2 linked regions of the Diceros bicornis minor genome follow. The protein of the gene in region 1 interacts with the protein of each later gene in a biochemical or structural test. Links are inferred from orthologs where the notes say so. Each region holds a gene or a part of one and is shown in the gene's direction. Other genes may lie near its edges.

Region 1 (9,652 bases):
CAGAATTTTCTGAAAGATGAAAATATTGATGAGAAAGAATTTATTGGCTAGGTTTCATTATTACAGAAGACAAAATAGACATATCACTTATCTATGAGGTACGGTGGCCAGAAATCAGGTAAATGAAATAAAATATCAAGAATGAAAAAGAAAAATTATGTTGAAAATTATAAAATAAAATATTTGAAAACAAATTCTTCTCTACATATTTATTTCTACAAACTCTTTGGAAGGAAAGTGACAATTCTATTAACAGTTTGGTATGCTGTATAGGAGGAAATAAGAAAAACATACAATCTAAAGTTTTGTCTAAGAAAACAAAAAATCTCAGATGGAGTTTCCAGAGGCAGAAGGAAGAGAAATTCAGCATCTGTTTTAGAGGAACACTGAAAGAACAAGACAATTAAAAGTAATTTAAAACTAAGAAAACTAAAATACAAATGATTAATCTGATGGTTGACATTAATTTAATGGCATAAAAACAAAGGGATTGGACTAGGGAAAACAGAAGAGAGAGGAAATATTTAAAAATATATTTTTGTTTAGATCAGCATTTTTTTTTTTAAGACTTTATTTACTTATTTTTTTCCCCCCAAAGCCCCAGTAGATAGTTGCATGTCACAGCTGCACATCCTTCTAGATGCTGTATGTGGGACGCGATCTCAGCATGGCCAGAGAAGCGGTGCATCGGTGCGGGCCCGGGATCCAAACCCTGGCCGCCAGCAGCAGAGCTCGCGCACTTAACCGCTAAGCCATGGCGCCGGCCCTAGATCAGCATTTTTGAAGGATATTTGCAGTCAATTCCCAGAAAATAAATTTCTTTCCAAGAGAAGAATGTATGAGTGTTAAAGTATATCCAGAATTATTTTAGAAAATCCAATTGAGAAATATCATTTTCCAAATACTGATTAAACCAAATTTAGGTGAGATTTATCCAGTAATCTAATGATGATATGGTTGTCATCGACAATATGGAGATGACTCACTCTTACTTTGGAATAGGAGTGATATGCTACTTAACTAAAAAAAGTTTTTATGTAACATAGTTGGCGTTTTAGAGCAGGGCATTTAGCCTCTTGCTACACCTCAAATTATGCTTAATACTTACATATCCGCTATTTTTATGGCATATTTGATGCTAAACAGTTTTTTAAAACAAAATACTATAGAAAAAAATGTAAAGTTATTAAGTGTGAGCTTAAGTGAGTAGGAAAACAGCAGTTTTGTTACTCAAAGAAAGATAATATTCTTAAGTGAAAGCCTGCATTAAGGAGCATTAAGCCACAGTATTTAATCTTTTGTTGTTGCTGTTAATTTAATATTGTTAAGATTTAGAGAGAAGTGTGCATATTGCAATATGATTGAAATAGATTATGATTCACACCAGGGAAAATTTGAGAGGGGAAGTGGATCAGAAGAAGGTGATAAAGTTGGAAACTATGAAGGTGACTATTTGCCCCTGTTGGCTCAGCGCAGTCCTGGTTTTACATTTGTTGTCCCTGTGTAATTATTATTAAATGTCTGCTTTCACTCTCAAAAGTGTTCTAGCCTGGATGATACACTATACGGTCACCTTAGAAATGATGGAAGCATGTTACATGTTATCAGTGCATCTAAAAGTGCATCACTACTAACAGCTAACACTTTTGAGTCTGCCAGAAACTGTGCTAAGCACTTTGTGAGCACTGTCCCATGTGGTCCTCCCAGTAATCTATGAGGCAGTTAGTATTGTAGTCCCCGTTCTGGAGATGAGGAAGCTCAAGTTTACGTTTATAGATGTTCAGGAACTTGCCCAAGGTCATTCAGTAGCCAAGTTTCTAATTCAAGCAGTCTTGTTTCAGAGGTCACACAAATAATCACCACGCATTATTCATTTCCTCCACACTTTAAAAATGTTCATAAGACATCTGAAAGAAATTTAATTTGGATAGGCTACGAAATGTATGGATAGGAAAAAAGATTATCAAGGATATACTAGGGGAAAAAAAACTTCAAAACTTTTCATAAAGCTTTTCACAAATAGAGGGAGACTTCCCTGTGATTGATAAAATATTACTGAAAATATGTCTGAAAGGCAGAAACATGCTATGGGAGGGATGTTTCCATTCCCAAAGTATTATAAAATCTTTAGTTTTGGTTCCTGCATGTTACTGCCTCTTTTGAGCCCAAATGTCCGTTTCCCACACACTTGCCACCCTAACCTCCTGCCCTCACTATCAACGGGCTAAGATGGAAGTGAAAATAGGGAAGTCAATCCCTATTAAAAATATATGTTATAATGCATTTTGATCTAATTGATCTAATGCTTCTAGACTTTTTTTGAATCTAACTCTATTCTAGCCTGAAGATTAATTTTTCTCAAATACTACTGTGATAAAAGCTTTGGTTCAAGGTCACCAATTCTTTACTAGGTGTTGAGAAAGGGAGAAAAGAATGATCACCCTAAACTTTTCCTTGCCCTCTGCTAACTTGGTCACAAATGCTTGCGCACAGCTGCTTGGCTGGCATGGGGAAATGACAGGGAACCCTTTTTAAAACAGTGGATAGGCTCTCTGTTGAGACACTTTTTTTTGATGGATGCTGTGTGCATTCCCTGGAACGCTTAAGGTCTTAAGGCTTTCCTTCAGATATGTGGCTTATCTCTAGCAGACAGTAATTCCTTTCCTGAGCCCAGCCATGAGAAGGGAGAATCCCAAAGAAAGAATTCCCTGTCTTTCACGGACAATTATTTAGAGAATCACAATGGGGAATATCAAGTTATACTATCAACAACTATTTTTTAGCTTATTCTCTAAGGTGGTCCTGGAGTTCATTAATCATTACAGAATTACAGTTAGGCAGCCTCATTTAAAGTGGGGTTTTACTTCTCCCTTTAATCATAATTGAAACATTAAGTCCATCTTAGTTCAACTGTGGAAGGATTTTCAAAGGAAACTAATTTGTAAAGCACGGAACACGAGTGCCTTGTAAAAGAACAAACGGAAGATTTGGCTATATCTGTATGTGCTGCTCATATGAGTTAGAACCAAGCAGTCAGCAATGAATAACAAAGATGAATCATTATTCTGATTGTTGAATACTCTGATCATATAGTTGTCATTTCACCCTCGCATGAGCACAGATGCAGAATCCCTGCTGAAGATACTTTACAGAAGGATTATTAAAGAAACATTTGTCAAAATAGGTAATATTGGTAAGTGTATCCTGGCTTCCATCCTCTTAAGGCCAGCGTTTTGGGGTTCATTCTTACAGTATGAGTAAGTAGGACTTATTTAACAGTCGAATAGGGAGCACTTTATTGTCTATACTTCTCTACTCTCCATATATTCCCCCGAAGAATGAAATCACATTTCCCACTCCTACCTTCTCAGCATCAGCATATGCTATCTCTATATTCCCTCCCATCAAAAGCTGCTTTGGGGAAACAATCTGATGAATTAGGTATAAAAGACTAATAAGGCTTAAAAGAGTACCTTTCCCAGGATTATGCTAGAGAAATAAACTACTCAAAGGAATTAAATGCTAGTGGCAAAATTTAGGCGAGTTGGAGGAGGGGTTTTTGGTCATAGGGACTTTTGTAGCCTAAATGGTAGTCAGCCAGATTGGTCCCCAGTATGAGTTTAAGTCAAAATAAAGGCTAGGGCCAGGGCAGGTTCTAGCCTAGGGACTGGTCTAGTCCTATTTATTTAGGTTTGCGGGTGGTGTGGGGACATTACATTTACTTGATTCTATGATGTCACATTTAAACGGGTCTTGAATCAACCTGAGACTAAATGTGACATTGGAATCCTAGAATCCAGCTGGTCTACAGCTGGCCTCTGGCTGGTATGGGAGATACTCCATGCTGGGCTGCTTTAGGAGAGTGACCCTTGCAGTTCAGAGCTATACCAAGGAGTCTGGTCAGACTCAAACCAGTTTTCGAAAGTGGAGTAGGAAATCTTTCTTGTGACAATTAAAAATAGCTTATACTTACTAGTAGACCTGGCTGCTGTTTCCTGCTTTAATGTTCTCTTACCTCCAGTTCAGCACTAAATAAGCCTGACCACTTTGGTAGTGTCTGTGAACCTTCAACTTCTGCTCTAAGCTAAGGAACTACCTGTGTTTATTCTAGCAGTTCTGGAAGTAGTTAAAACGCTCCTACCCCTAACAGAACGTCTTGAATATCTTTGGAGTTGTTTCAAGCGTTTGTCACTAGCATACAACTCACTTTGGTAAATAATTCTTTGATGGACTTCACGAACTCCTTCCTTTGGATGCAAGCCAAAAATCATCTGTAGGGCATACAGCTCTTTATTCAAACTTGCTAATAAATAATTATCTCTGGAACACAGACGGAAGAACTGAAGCAGTGACTTCAGGGACACAGAGACTAATTACCATCACTGTACACGGTTAAGTACAGCACAGACTGGGGGCGGGGAATGGTTCGTTCCGTATCTATTAAGTTCCTTCTCCGGGTGAAACAAGGCCGTCTTGTCTGTCAACATATTTAAAGCAGTAACTGCACAAACTGTGCAATGTTATGGTTGAGGCGTTCTATGTCACGTGTTGACAGAATGCTTAAGAATCTCTCTCCGCAGTAAACGCAAACCCTGCCAGGCTGATAGATTAGGGCCAGCGCAATTCACCGACTGGTGCACCGAAACCGCTGGGGTTGGAAGCCTCTGTCGCTTTCGGAGCGTATACAATGTTTCCTCTAACAAAGGCACCACCTTGAGGCAATTTCGCGGGCCCTTTTCCCCCTCCCAGCGCCAGCTTTGTCTCCCCGCCGGTGTGGGGCTGAGACTTGGAGGAGCCCCAGCTGCGCTGCTGTGCGAGCAGGCTCGGAGCAAGGGCCGGCGTGGGAAGCTCCCCTGAGCTGCCGCTGTGGTTTCCTGCAAACTGAGCGTGCCTTTAGAGGAAGTTGGAGTGCTGCAGTTGAAAGAGATACCTGCAGCCTGAAAATCGGGGCTGGACTTGAACCCCTCGCGCCGATCACTGTCGTACAAAGACACTCAATCGGCCGGGGCGCCGGAGGCCCGCTACCGGGCTGGGCGCGGGGCAGCCGGGGTCAGCGTCGTCAGCGCGCCCACCTTAGGCGGCTGGGGAGTGGGCTGGGGGCGGCAGGCGGGCCTTCCCCGGCCTGGGCCGGAGCGGGCCTCACGCCGCGCCTCGCACGCGAGCCCCCGGCCGCCGCCGGCCCCTCCCGCCAGCCCCCGGCCCAGCGCCGCCGACGTCGGCCCGCGCCGCCCCGTGCGCGGTGACTGGCTCGCGCCGGCCTCCCCCGGCTGTGGGCGGGGGGGTGAAGCCGGCGGGAGGCCGCCCCGCCCCCGCCGCGGAGCCGCCGCGCGCAGCCTCTTCCCCCCTCGCCGGCGGGGCGGTGGCGCTGTTGCCGCCGCGGCCTGTGAGGCAGTGCCTCCCCTCCGCCCCAGCCCCCTTCCTCCTCCTTTCTCTGCGCGCCCTCCCTCCCCTCTCCGTCTCGCGCTCGAGTGAATGTGGCGCGGCGGCGCGGGACGCAGCCTCGGCCCCTGCCGCGGCCCCGCGAGCTCCTGAGGAGACGAAGCCGCCGCCGGCGCGCACCCCCCGCGCTGCCCGGGGGAGCCTCCGCCGCCCGGAGGGGGAAGAAGAACGAGGAGGGGAGCGAAGGGACGGCGGCGGGAAAACGGGAGAGGAAGCAGAAGAGGGGTCGAGGGCGGGTAGGGAAGGCGGGAGGGACGGACGGAAGGACGGACGGCCCGACGGACGGCCCGGGGAGGGGGCCGCCCTCGAGGCTGTTCGGCCCCTCGGCTGCAGCTCGGGGCCGCGGCGGCGGCGGCGGCGGCGGCGGCGCGGGCGAAGGGCGCGGCAGGCGCTATCGAGACAATAACCGCGCTGCCCGGCTCGGGGGGCGGTGGCGGCCTAGCGCGGCCGAGGCTCGCCCAGCGCGCGGCCGCGTCTTCGCGCCCGCCGGCCGGGTTCCGCCGCCGTCGGGCGTGCGGGGCGCGCCGGCCTCCCGGAGCCCGAGGCTCCGCCGGCGCCCCCTCCCCTCCCGTCCCCTCCCCCTCCAGCGCGCGGAGCTGGTTTTCCGGGTTGCCCTGGACCGAGCTGGATCCTGCTTCTCGCCAGGGCAGGAAGTGAGTTTCGCACGGTAATTCCGGGCGGTGTCACGAGTGAAAAGTTTTTTTTTCGGCGGAGATCTTAGTTGGGGCTGGGAAACTCCTGCAAAACTCGAGACCAGGAAACCAGCCCGCTTCCCAGCCCCCACCAAAGCAACCTACTCTTCCTCTTGCGGGAGGCCGCTCCACATCCGCTCTTACCGGAGAGAGAAATTCGGCTGGATCCGAAGTGACTAATGAAGGGAAGGAAATCATGTCAGGCGAAGCGTTGAAAAAGCTGCCCTGAGACACTGCCCGACCGAAAGGTAATTTCCACGAAAAGTGTCTAGAAGTCACAAAGCTCCTGGGCCAGGAAAGAGAGGATAGTTGAGTGTGTTTCACTTTTTCCCAAGTGTCCCTGAATTCACCTTTGCTCATGTCGAACGGGATAGTGTTTTAGGTGCTAAATGGTAGAACTGATTTGTTTTCCCCCTTCTACCATCAGGACTCTGGTTATTTTAGAAGAGGTTGAAAGAATGCGGTGGGATGAAAAGTTTTAAGCAATCTGAAGAAAGAATGCCTTTGTTCAGCGCAAGGTCCAGAAGTTTTAGTTTCCCGGAACATATACAGTGTATATTTTTTATTTGTTAAGTTGCTGAACCGGCAACTTTGGTTTTAGAAGAAAGGTCGCTGCAGCGAGTGGTTTGCTGTTGTTGAGATGGCTGCCACATTTGTTTATACTGTTACCCATTTATTAGGCTTTTGCGTTCAGTCGTATATAGAGATTTTGTAGTTCCAACACTTAGAAATATATTTCGTTGAATTTATAAACAAAAACCTTTGCCATTCTGAGTCATTTTTCTAGGTGGGTAATATATTTCTTCAGTAACTTGTTCCTTTCAGACGCTTAGAACCTTATAATACTTGTATGGTTAATTAATTGAAAGCAAGGGTCTGCTAGAGTTTTTTGTAGCTGACCTAGTAGGAAGAAGGAGAGCGTAAGTGTTGTGGATAGTTACAATTAAAAAACAAAAAACAGCTATAAGTCGTTTGATTTGTTAGGACGTCTCTGCAGTTCAGATCAGAATATATAGGAAAGGAAGTAAAATGCTTCAAACGATTTTCTTGGAAATCACATTGTGATAAAGAGCTGTGCTTTTTGAATAGTACAGTATTTACATTTTTGTGTTGGCCCAAATGTTTTGGCTGGTTCTGCCTAATAAGTGATAGGTACCTGATGTAGAGGCAGGGATTAGTGATGCGTGAGAGACATTCCACCAGGCAGAGTTATAAACACTACTGAACCAATCGGTAGTCTTTATAGATCAAACTAGTTTTGGTCGCAGCAAACACAAAACGGTTTCTTCAGTGGCCTTTTAGTGTGTATCTTTTTTAAGTTTTTTTGTTTTTCCAGTACTTTTCTGGTAAAGGGAGGTGAAAGACAATACTGTGCTTTTGCATAAATATTAGATAAATATGGTGTTCCATTGTAGGTATATCTAAAATATAAATTGATGTTTAGTTTGCCCATGCTACCCCAAGAAAAATAGTTGGCTTTCTTTAGTCCAAAGAAGAGAAAAGGTAGGTTTTAAAGAGATCAAATTATTTCACAACTTGGTTTTTGTTACTTTATTAAGTATATTTCAAAATGAGACTCTTTTAACTATTTATTACTATATATTGTTTTGATATTTTCCCCAGAGCCTAGTCTCTGGAGATCCTTTTTTTTTTTAAAAAAAAATTCGTTGGTAAGATTTGTGAACCATCAGGTAATTCCTGTTAAGTCAAAGCTGCTTTATCAAGGAATTTAAAGTAAATAACTGATCTACTTTTTGATTTTGGAACGTATCATTAGGCAGCGAAGGAGGTTATTCTTGGGCATCTGAAAGAGCGGAACAAAATAAATGGCACTGAACTTCAGTTCCCTTATATGGCTTATACTTGGCCTCAGAGCAACAAAGCCTTAACAGAACAAGTCTTTTATAGAGAATTATCATTTTGAGCAGATATTTCTCTGCATTAGTAAATTTTATGTGTAAGAAATATTGTAGCATTTGAAAATAACTTCTTAAATTCCTGTTTTTAGATATAGTTCTTGATCGTTGTTTTTCTTTAGGGAGCAATAGTATGTTTAGATGTAGACCACACGTTTTTAAAAGTGAGATGTTCACCTTTGTAGTTGTCTTTGATTCCTTTTTTCCCCTCCACAAGGCAAAATTTACTTTGTGGTTTACTTACAATTTTTGTTAGTTTAGCACTGAATTAACTTCATGAATTTTAGGCTTTATACTATTGTCAAACTATAAATATTTTTAAAGCCTTGTTTAAAATGTGACAGTGGTTTGAAAAGAAGTTAAAAAAACAATAATCAGTTAAAATATTTTTAAATGGCTTCAAATTTTGTATATTCTTCTTAGTATTGTGTGGGTTTTCTTAGATTAGATTGGCAAATATAGAGTACTTCAAAGTGTTTGCTTATATTGCACAAATGCACATCTAATGCTACTGTTTATTGAAGGTACTTAGGAGTTTTCAATAGTGATAAACTTGATTCTTAACTAATTAATTCAGATATTACGTTATGAAGTCAGCCTGCTGTTTGAGAACAAGCTATTGCAAACTTTTCACATCTGAAAAGCTTACCAAGGTTCAAATATGGAAACCAAATTTTTATTGCATGTTGTTTCTTAATGAAGTGATAGCTATACAGACGTTTTACATGTACCACATTGGTACATCTCTAAAATTCAGTTATTTTAGAGATACAGTTGTGCATTCCATGACGACTTCACTCAATGATGGACAACATATATGACAGTGGTCCCATAAGATCAGTACCATGTAGTCTAGGTGTATAGTAGACTATATACCATCTTGTGTAAATACACTCTGATGTTCGCACAATGACAAAATTGACTAATGAATCATTTCTCAGAATGTATCCTGTCGTTAAGCGACTCATGCCTGTATTGGTATTGAGCTCTTGGTAGTACACAATACCTTACTTCGGTAAACACACTTTAAAATTTCAGAAAATTAGGGGCATACTTAGGCATTTATTTTATTTTTTTTTAATTTTTATTTTATTTATTTTTTCCCCCAAAGCCCCAGTAGATAGTTGTGTGTCATAGCTGCACATCCTTCTAGTTGCTGTGTGTGGGACGTGGCCTCAGCATGGCCAGAGAAGCGGTGCGTCCGTGCACGCCCGGGATCCGAACCTGGGCCGCCAGCAGCGGAGCACACGCACTTAACCACTAAGCCACGGGGCTGGCCCTGGCATTTGTTTTAAATAATTGCTTATAGATAACATGATTTAGAGTTTAAGCTGTTTTTGATTTAGAAGTAGATTATAGCAGTGTTTACAAAGTATTTGGGATTATGCAGAATTTTAGTCATGTTGGATAGCAAAGTAATTTGCTTTTCTGTAATTGCTACTTATCTAAATTCTCTTTAAACACACTTTGTTGCTTGCGTTTTTATTTTGACTCTTACCCTTGCTCATCCATTTCTCTGTTACATGCTTTGTTTTTTCTGGGAATGCCTATATTATAAAGTCCTAAAGATGTCTTTCTCTTTTCCTTTCCTGGTATCGTGTATTG
Region 2 (9,943 bases), on another chromosome or scaffold:
CAGAGAAACAGAACCAATAGGCTAGGTATAAAGAGATTTATTATAAGGAATTGGCTCACATGATTATGGAGTCTGGTGAGTCCAATCTGCAGGGTGGGCCTGCAGGCTGGAGACCCAGGGGACCACTGTTCCAGTCTGAAGCCATCTGCTGAAGCATTCTCTCTTACTTGGGGGAGGGTTGGCATTTTTGTTCTATTCAGGCCTTCTACGGATTGGGTGAGGCCCACCCACATTGAGGAGAACAATCTGCTTTACTCAGCCTACTGATTCAAATGTTAATCTCATCCAAAAACACCCTCACAGACACACCCAAAATAATGTTGACCAAATATCTGGGCCTCCCGTGGCCCACTCCAGTTTACACATAAAATGAACCGTCACAGATGTTATTGCTGGTGCTACATGAAGTGGTAACAACCCCCACTCTGTACCTCACGATGATTACAACTCTCACCTGTGCTGCATGGAATACAGAGCAGGTGCAAGGGAAGCATCGGCTTATGAAGTAACTCTAGCGTCCGAAGGAGACGGGGGCAGGGGCAGTGATAAGGACTGGGGAATCGGCTGACTTTTCTTAACTGCCCTAGAAGCCTTGAAGAAAGAGAATGAAAGGTCCAGGGAGCCGACAGGTGAAGGCCCTGTGAGAGGCAGAGGCCTCTGTGGCAGCACGGGAGAGACCTCCGTCCCCTGAAGCAAGAGGGCCCAGAGTTGGTTGTCAACGTGGCTGGTCTGCAGGGCAGCTGAGCCCGGCACCCAGGCAGGCCTCTGCCCAGGCTGAGTCCAGGGCTGGGCTGCGGGGAGAGAGTCCCTGAGACCTGGAAGGGGGCACTGGGTGGAGGTTTCGAGAAACTGGGATTTCTGATTCCCTGACAGATTAGCTAGAGAAGCACAGCTTTCCATGGCCTGGGGACCACGACAGGCTGTGCTGGGCTAAAAGACACGATGCTCAAGGGCTCCTCATGCTGTGCCCCGTCTCCCCTCACTGCCTCTGGACCAGCAACCGGCCAAGTTCCGCAGACCCGGCGGGGGCAGTCCCAGAGCAGCCAGAGGAGGAACGGCTTGTTCATCAGAATCCCCCTCTGTGTTCAAGAATGGGTTTGCTGGACGAGGGTGGGAGGGGCGCACGTACGGCTGGATGGGAGGGTCTGGGATGTGATGGTGCTCCCATCTCAGGATTAACATCTTGGTGCGCAGAGCCGGCCCTTAGTCTGTGCAGGGATAGCTCCTCAGGCTGGGCAGCCTGGGCAGAGTGGGGAGGAAGGGAGGTGGGAGGGTTGGAATGGACACCAGCTGGAGACCTGGAGACACTCCTTTCTCTAAAGCAGCTAGAATGCCCCGACGAGGGGCATCAACGTCACTAAGAGGACGTTCTGACAGGCAGTGGCCGGGAGGGGCGCCAAGTGACCAGGTGGAGCTAGCATAGCAGCCATCCAGCCCACAGGGATAGGTGCATTTGGGACGTGGCATGAGCAGGTCCCGAGGCACAGTAAGCTACTGACACAAATGACCCAGTCCTCCAAGTCCCCTGCCCCCGCTGGCTGGACTCCCAACATTCCTCAGCTCACACCTGCGACATCGCGGAACGTTTACTATGACCAGCTGGTAGAGAGAGAACGGGCCTGCTTTACGAATGGGTCTGGTTGATAATTTAGTATGAACCGAAAACGGACTGCTGCCACATGACAGCCCAACTCTGGGGCGGGATAAAGGACCGCGGTGAGGACTGCTGGCAGAGCTTTGAGCCTTTCATGGTCATCTCCTTTGCGCTCAGACGCTTGGACAGGGTGGGTGGCTGGCTCCTCGTCTGGGTGCCCGGAAGGGGCAAGGTGGGACGAGTGGTGGCAAGGAGGTGGGGAGGGGTCTGTGGAGGGACCTGTGGGCGCAGACACAGGCCTGTGGGTCTTGAGCCCCATGTCCATCCCCAGAGAGCATCACTGAGGCAGAGGCGCTCAGCAACCAGGCGCAGAGATGGTGTCTGTAGCCGAGGGCAGCCAGCCTAGGCTTTGCCTGCCACTCCAGTGCCCTGCACAACAGGCCATGGACAGCACAGTCCTGATGGCAGGGATGGAGGTGTCCAAGAGATGGAGGGGAGCAGGAGCTACAGCTACCGACTTCGCTACCCACAGCAGAGAATGATTCTGCCCGCTGATGTGGTAACACCAGCCACTTGGCGGCAAGTCGATCACACCCAAGTCCTGCAGTCCTGGAGGGAGAGGCGATTCCTCTCACTGGATGGATACATGCAGAGGCCAGGGAGGGGGTGACTTCCCGCAGGGTTAGGGACTGTCCTTCAAGACAGCATATACGTTGAACCAGTGGCTGTTATATGGTGTCGTTCCCCTGGTAGCTACAAGGCAGCATCCAGGCAGCAACGGGGAGAAAGAGCATTGGCCCCCTTACCATCTCTCCCAGGGGTCCACGTGGGGGATCTCCTGCTCTCTCGACTTTAGGCTCTGCTGAATTAGAGGTCATTGCCCCTGGAGGAGACCCTCAACCACAGGAGACGGGAGTCAGGGGATAACTCTTAGCCTGTTGGTCCTCCGGTTAGAAGACACTGAGACCTGTTCCTCTTTGCTTCTCCAGGCTCCCTGGGGGAACAGAGCCCCTTCTCCCCCTGGTCTCTGGGGGAATGGGGCGCACTTACACATCTTTGATTCACTTTTTTCCCTCCTCCCCGTTCACTTTCTCCCTTTCTTCGTTTATCCTTCCCGGGATGGCTTCCAGAATAAACTACTTGCACCCAAGTTGTTGGCTCAGGATCTGCTTCTGGGGGAACCTAAACTAGGGTAAGTGTCTCAGTGACATTATGTTTCATAATATACTATATTGGTAAAGTGTCTTCCGATCTTGAGTAATTTTTCAGCCATACATGTTTATTAACTATTTTTTTCCTGCCCTGCATCTTTAATTTTTAGCAGTTGACCATATTTATGCCAAATAAATAGGACCCTGATAAAATGAGTGTCTTTGATAACACACAGTAGATACAATGAGCTTCATAGAACTGCTTCTTACAGCATTTTTCAATCTAGATCATAGTCCAGTCAATAAAAGCAATTCTACAGGGAGAGATTGCTACGCACTGCTAGGTAAATAGCCATCTGCCTGCCTGGCTTCAGGTTGGGGTAGATTTCAACGTTTTTGTAACACCATCCCCAAGCACCAATAAGCTGACAAATAGAGTCAGCACAGTTCGGCTGAGCTTTGGGTGACTACTGGTTTGTGGCCGTTTGTGGGTGCACCGCAATGACGACTGGGAGGTGGCTCTCAGGCATTACCAGGCAGCCGAGCTGGGCGTGAAGCTGAGGTCCTCTCGTGAGATGTCAGGGAACTGAAGGGCACATGCTCTTCAGAGGTGGGTCAAAGGGCATCCACAGGCAGGGCCCAAGTCTTCCGCCAACAACAATCCTAACTGGCTCCAACCAACAGAACAACGAGTTCTCCTCTGTAGCACACGTCCTCTGTAATAGGAACTTGGAAAAATGTTAAGTGTAACCAAATGCCCACCTTGGATGCTAAAACAGCTCAGTTAAACACCAAAAAACACCTAGTTTTGAACAACGTTACTTTCTAGAATCCCTTACAAATAAACTTTTCTGAAATTAATCTACATCCGAGGTAAAAGAATGCCACTAATAGCTCTGAAGCATTTAAACGCCCAGGGACTTCTGAGACCAGTTCTGGCAGGTGGCCCGTGGGTCTCCCTTCTGACAGTAATTGGCGCCAGGTTCACTGGTGACCTAAGGCCACGCCCCAGAGTTGCCTTTCTGTACCACCATTTGATTGAGTCAAGTTGAATCTTACCCTTGTTTACCAGATTACAAGCACCAGATCTAACGTAATGGAATCTGAAATGACTGTACTCTAAATTACGTCTCCAAATGAGCAGTACTAAGAGTAAACAGGCATCTCTCAAGAGTGGAGAACTACTCAGGTCAACACCCTTCCACTGATAGAGTCTTTCGGCACAAAATTTGATGGAGCTGTTAATTGCCGTTTCCTAAAAGTCGTGTAGGGAAGTGGTCTAGAAAACATGTGCGGTGTGTGGGTCCTGGAGGCTCAGAGCCCAGGTTTGAGGCCATCTCCACCACTCGTTGGATGTGTGACCAGTAAAATGGGGACAATGAGAGAAACTCCACAAGGCTGTAGTAACGATGGTGTGACATAATGTGGGGGGGGGGTGGCGGGGGAGCACTGGGCAGAGACACAGGGAGCTCAGGAAGTGGCGGCTGTGACCACCGAGTAGGGGGCCCTCAAAATCCAGAATTCATACTGCTCTTTGAATTACTTTGTGTTTGCATTTGGAAAGAAAATTTAACGCTAACTCCAAGCTGGAAATAAATGCAATAACGATTGCAATGGAAGTACTCCGGAAGAAGGCAGAGGAAGAGGAGAGTTAAGCCTCTGTTTTTAAAAGTCTTTCTAGCCTTTGTCACTAACTGGGTTGCTATATGTGTCTGGCACACAGTAAGCTCTCTGTAGGTGACCGTTAATACCGTCTGAAGCTGCCATGGGCAGTCCTAGCAAGCAAGTGGGGAAGGCACTCCTGGACTGTGGATGGAGTAAATGGAAATACATGGACACCTTCACACCTGCTTCTTTCAAGAAGAGGCTCTTCTCCTTCGTTAGCCTTTACATGTGTCAATGTCATTCGTTGTTTGAAGAAGCAAGTTCCTTAAGTGACAGTTGGAGGGCTGAGTTCTTCAGGTTTGGCCCGAGTGCCTTCAAAGCCTTGTCTGCAACAGAGCATCTCTTGTCCAAGTGGGATCTGGCCAAACGGCCTGTTTGGACTGAGCTGTTCTCAGTCCTTGTTTCCCTATCATCTGCACAGACCCAGGTCAGCCTCTGCTCTTTTCTTGACCTTCCTCCCATAGTGTTAGAAACGTCACCAGCAACTTAAAACAGAGTCGCTCCAAGGTTTCTGGTCCTGGAGAGGGGCCAGCCGCGTCCCTGCCGCTGAGGTCACAGGCCTCCCAGCAGGGGGCACGCATGACACCGGCCGCACCGCGCTCTGGGGCCTCCATATCCCCAAGGATCGCAGCAGCGCCCAGAAAATCAATTCTTCCCTGAATTAGACCCATCTGGTTACAGATTTAATTATCATTTGTGTTCTGTAATTATTGGCTTGCAAGGTAGGGGGAGAGAAGCAAACATCTCGTTTTCAGCAACCCCCCAACCTCTTGAAATGAAACTGGCAAAAATAAAAAGAGCATTCTGGGAAGCATTTAATAATTTAAACATTCATGAATTGAGACTATAAATAAAGGGTTCCGAGTCCTCCGAGAGGGGAGAGGACAGCGGAAGGGAGAGGACAGCGAAAGGAGCCTGGCCGGGCTCTCGCCTCCGGAGGGGGCTGCGCGTGGGCTCCGCGGGGCGCAAACGGTTAAGAGCGCACGCGCCCCGCGGGTTGGGAGGCCCGGCCAGCCCTCCCCGGCCCGCGGGCTGTCGCCTTCTGGAGGTCACCGGGCCCTTGGGGCGGGGGCCCACAGCCGGCCTCGCAGGTGGGGGCGCGCGCACGGCGGGGGCGCATGGCGCGGGGCCCGGGTGTGGAGGGCGCACGGCGGGGGCGCACGGCGGCCGCCCGAGCGCGGGGGTGCTGGCGGCCGGGGGGCCCGGCGCGGGGCCGCTCAGCGCGGCGTCTTTTCTTCTCCTGGCAGTGATGTCATCGGCGGCAGCGGCTGGGAGCCGGGAGGCGGCGGCGGGGGCGGCGCCGGGCGGCCGCCGCAGGTTCATGTGCATGTAATGAAAAGGCACTTGACAGTCGGCCAGGACGCACGCGAGGGAGCGCGAGCCGGCCGGACCGCGGCGCCGCCCGAGCCAATCGCCGTCGCCGGCCTCTCCATGGGCGAGCAGGAGGAGGGGGCGGGGGGCGCAGCGGGCCTGGCCGCGGCCGCTCCGAGGTGAACGGCGCCGAGACCGGCTCGCGGCGCGGGGAGGCCGGGCGCGCCGCCGCTATGAATTCCGCCGAGCAGACCGTTACGTGGCTCATTACCTTGGGGGTGCTGGAGTCGCCCAAGAAAACCATCTCGGACCCGGAGGGCTTCCTGCAGGCGTCTCTGAAGGATGGGGTGGTCCTCTGCAGGCTGCTGGAGCGCCTGCTGCCCGGGACCATCGAGAAAGTGAGTGCCCCCCGCCCCGAGCCCCCACGGCGGACAGGCCCGCACGGCGGACAGGCCCAGGGCAGCGGGAGCCCTGGCGGGGGGAGGCCCGGGGCGCGCGGAGACGCGCGGGCGCGGGGTTGCTGGCGCTCGCACCTGGTGGCTGCGCGGGCCGGGGAGCGCGGGGCGCCGAGGAGCCCACGCGCCTCCTTTGTGCGCGGACCCGGGAGCGCGGGCCGCGCGGGGGGCGCGCCAGCGGCGCGAGAACCCGGTGGCGGGAGCTCGGGGCGCCATTGTGTGCGGTGCCGGCTGGGGAGGGGGCCGGGGCCGCGTTCAAGAGGAGCGCCCCCCGGGAGGTCCGGAGGGAAGGGGAGCGCTCTGCTCTGCCCCGCCCGAAGGTGGAGTCGTCCCTCTCGGTGACCCCAGCAGAAAACCGTGCTCCAGCACTGCGCACAGCTCGTCCGAGGGCTTTGTTTGAACAGCTTTTGTTGCTGGTATTGTATGAGAGTTTCACCCTCTGTTTAATTGACCAATTGCTATGCATTTTTTAAAGCTGCATTCATCGATAGCTGAGGGCTGGGTTGTGAAACGATTTTCCGCCCTCTCCACGAAAGAATTCTTCCCGTCTGCGCGCCAGAGGATGGCAGACACGGGGTTGGAAAGCCCTGGCATTCTTCAAGGCTGGCTTAAAATCCTAGATTTCATTTTCAGGTTCATACCTGAATTTGAGCGGAACCCCTAGTCCTACAGACTCTGCTCCTCTTCTTCATGACGGGCAGTTTCCGGGGCTGGAGTGTGAACCTTGACCCGCATCTCCGTGAGTGACTAAAGTTTGCGTTCCTCTCCACGGCTGACGAAGCAGTGCAGGGGACGGAACGCTTTTAAAAACGGTGTATGCCTGTATGTCAAAAACACTGCAATCTTGTCCCATTTTTTTTTTTTGCCAATACATAATCTTAAGATCAACAATTACTTACAAGGTGTTAAATGGAGAAATTGAAGTACACTAATTAGGAAAAACTATTTCATTTTTTAAATGGAGTTGTCTTGACCCCTACGCACAATAACAATTTGCTAATAATGCTAATTAGGTGACTTGAAAAAGTAAAATGTTTAATCTTATTCATAAGTTTGTGCATGTTCTGGAGCTACATTTTAAAGGTCAGAAAAGATTCTATTTAATATGAATTTTACATGCATACTAGTTTTAAGTATTTTCCTTACGTGAAACATATTTATGAGAATAGAATCTGCATTTTAGAGTGAATAGCTGCCTGCCTGTCCAGGAAATAAAATTGTTGGTGTAAATGAACCTGATGTCACAATAAAATTATGATTTAGGACAGGAATAAGGAGCAGGATCTGACTTTCAAGGTACTCAAAATACTTTGTTGTCATCTGGATATCAGGTATCCTCTGATAATAAAAGACAGATGCTGAAAAGCGTTGAAAATGCATGCTAAGTTTACCAAAATAGGCTTATATAAAATACTCGTCCATTTCCAAGAGGGAAGCTTTAAGAAACTTCATGTGCCGTCTGGATAAAAACATGTTGCTCTCAGTGCATACGTTACTTGGTATATTAACTGCATTCATATTGATTGGCAGACTTCAAAAATCATTTTCTTTTGCATTCTAGAAAGATTTTCTTAGAAAACTGTAGCATTCCTTTCATCTCTAAAACAACATAGAGAGGAATGAATAAAATGTTTAGCTTGAGGAAGCCAAATTGAAACAACCCAGCATATTCTGAAAGCTGGTCAGTTGGAGATTTTTACATTGTGACCGTCTCGTTAGTCCCCCCAGGCCCCGCTGGTCTGCTTTAGACGGACACAATCACAGTGCAAGTTTAACAGCAAAGTAGCAAATTATAGACAGAGCTACTTATTCTCTGTGGTTCAAAGGTAGATTTTTGGAGTAAAATATTAGCCAATCTCTGCCTCTAAAACCCTGGGTTTCAGAAGTTTTGTGAGCTTTTCCATTTCCTGAGAACAGTTATTTATTTGAGCTTTATGATATTTGAACGCACACAAATAATATATGTGACAAAGCATGCAGGCTGAACAGCTGTAACTCGCATGTGGGAATGTTCGTCTGAGGATGTTTTTCCTTAAAAAGGAACATTTGGAAACTTAACTGAATATTCATCTGGAATTGAGGATCTTGACTTTACCCCAGTTTGCTACATGAACACATGACGACTGGCAAACACAGCTGCAACTTCACATTTGCAAATTCACAGTTTAAGATGAACCATTACACTAGGGATAGTGCAGAATTAGGAAAAGGTTAGTGGTGGCTCAGGTTCCCAGATGCCTTTTATTAAGAAAACATTCCTAATATGTTTCTTGCGTTGTGTTCATTTGTTCTGTTTTAGAGCCAGTAGAGGGTGGAGAGCTGAGAGGACATTCATTTCCGTTCAGATTGTTCTCATTTTAAAGAGGTTTTCTGCCCAGGACCTCCTTTGTGCGGTCTGCCTTTCTGTAGGCGGAAGGTGAGGCAGGGACAAGAGGGGATTATGAACTCTGTGTGAGCAGTTTGGAAGAGAGACACTTTTTTTTTTTTTTACTGGCCAGTGAGGCACTGTCTTTTTTTTTTCTTTTTGGGGAAGGTTGGCCCTGCGCTAACATCTGTTGCCAATCTTCCTCTTTTTCTTTTTTCTCCCCAAAGCCCCAGTACATAGTTGTGTATCATAGTTGTAGAGTTGTAGCTCTTCTGTATGGGACGCTGCCTCAACATGGCTTGATGAGCGGGGAGTAGGTCCGCACCCAGGATCCGAACCAGCGCGACCCCCTGGCCGCTGAAGTGGAACACACGAACTTAACCACTATGCCACCGGGCTGGCCCCTAGAGACACGTTTTGTTATTGCCAGTGATGTGTTCTCTGGCAGAGGGGAGAGAAGAGTGGGGATTACAAGGTTTCCCAAATCTTCGTGTCTGAGATCTTACACTTCGATTTTTCCAGTAATGGCCAGGATGTCTTGCTGACCCACCCACACTATTTGCTTCCCTCGTTCCTCCTGTGATGGGAAACGCACCAAGGCCGCAGAATCAGGGAGCCCTGTTGGCACTGAGCTCATGACTTAATGCGGTAAACATCCCTACATTATTTAGTCAAAGGGGGTGAAATCAAGTGAGAGAACTTTTAGAGGATGGAACAGGACTCTGAGATTAATAAAACATTAAAATAATGGAAGTCCTGAAATGCTGCTTAACTTTTACTTGTAAATGCAGCAGCTGCAGCTGGTCGATTCACCAAGAAAAACTCAAGGAGCCTGGTTCTTTCTCCCTACACCCAGGAAAACAGAACACACAGTAATCCGTCAAGTGCTGCCCAGAAGACACTCCATCCATCAATATTTGCGGAATGCAACTGAAAGTCAGATGCTACCCTTCTGGTCTTGCTACAGGTCCTGGGTGTACGTGTGTGCACGCGTTTAAACTGGTTTAAGCTGTTGGGCTGTGTGTTAGTGTCCTGGGGCTGCCGTAACAAAGTATTGCATGCTGGGGGCCTAAACAACAGAACTTGGTTCTCGCACAGTCCTGGAGGCAGCAGTCAGGGATGGAGGTGTAGGCAGGGCCGTCCCCTCTGCAGGCGCTGGGGGAGGATCTGTCTAGGCCTCTCCAAGGCTCCCGGTGGTTCCTTGACTTGTGGCAGCACAACTCCAGTCTTCCATGGCGTTCTCCCTGTGGTCTCTTCCCTGTGTCCAAACCTCCCCTTTTATAGGGATGCCAGTCATTGCATTAGGGCCACCCTACCCCAGTAGGACCTCAGCTTTACTAATTACATCTGCAACGACCTTGTTTCCAAATAAGGTCACATTCTGAGGTTCTGGGGGTTAAGG

Evidence for each region. The genes of interacting proteins can lie anywhere in the genome.
Region 2: the proteins of ERBIN (region 1) and ARHGEF7 interact in a test that uses a peptide from one of them, tested with the Homo sapiens proteins (2 studies listed by BioGRID and IntAct). The link is inferred for Diceros bicornis minor from reciprocal best matches to the Homo sapiens genes ERBIN and ARHGEF7.

Annotation. Positions count from the first base shown.
Region 1 is NC_080759.1:11,089,333-11,098,984, reverse strand, and holds the start of ERBIN (erbin), read left to right. Parts: upstream 1-5,733; 5' UTR 5,734-6,379; intron 6,380-9,652. UniProt on the Homo sapiens protein: Acts as an adapter for the receptor ERBB2, in epithelia. By binding the unphosphorylated 'Tyr-1248' of receptor ERBB2, it may contribute to stabilize this unphosphorylated state.
Region 2 is NC_080748.1:85,188,592-85,198,534, forward strand, and holds the start of ARHGEF7 (rho guanine nucleotide exchange factor 7), read left to right. Parts: upstream 1-5,912; 5' UTR 5,913-5,954; coding exon 5,955-6,119; intron 6,120-9,943. UniProt on the Homo sapiens protein: Acts as a RAC1 guanine nucleotide exchange factor (GEF) and can induce membrane ruffling. Functions in cell migration, attachment and cell spreading. Promotes targeting of RAC1 to focal adhesions. May function as a positive regulator of apoptosis.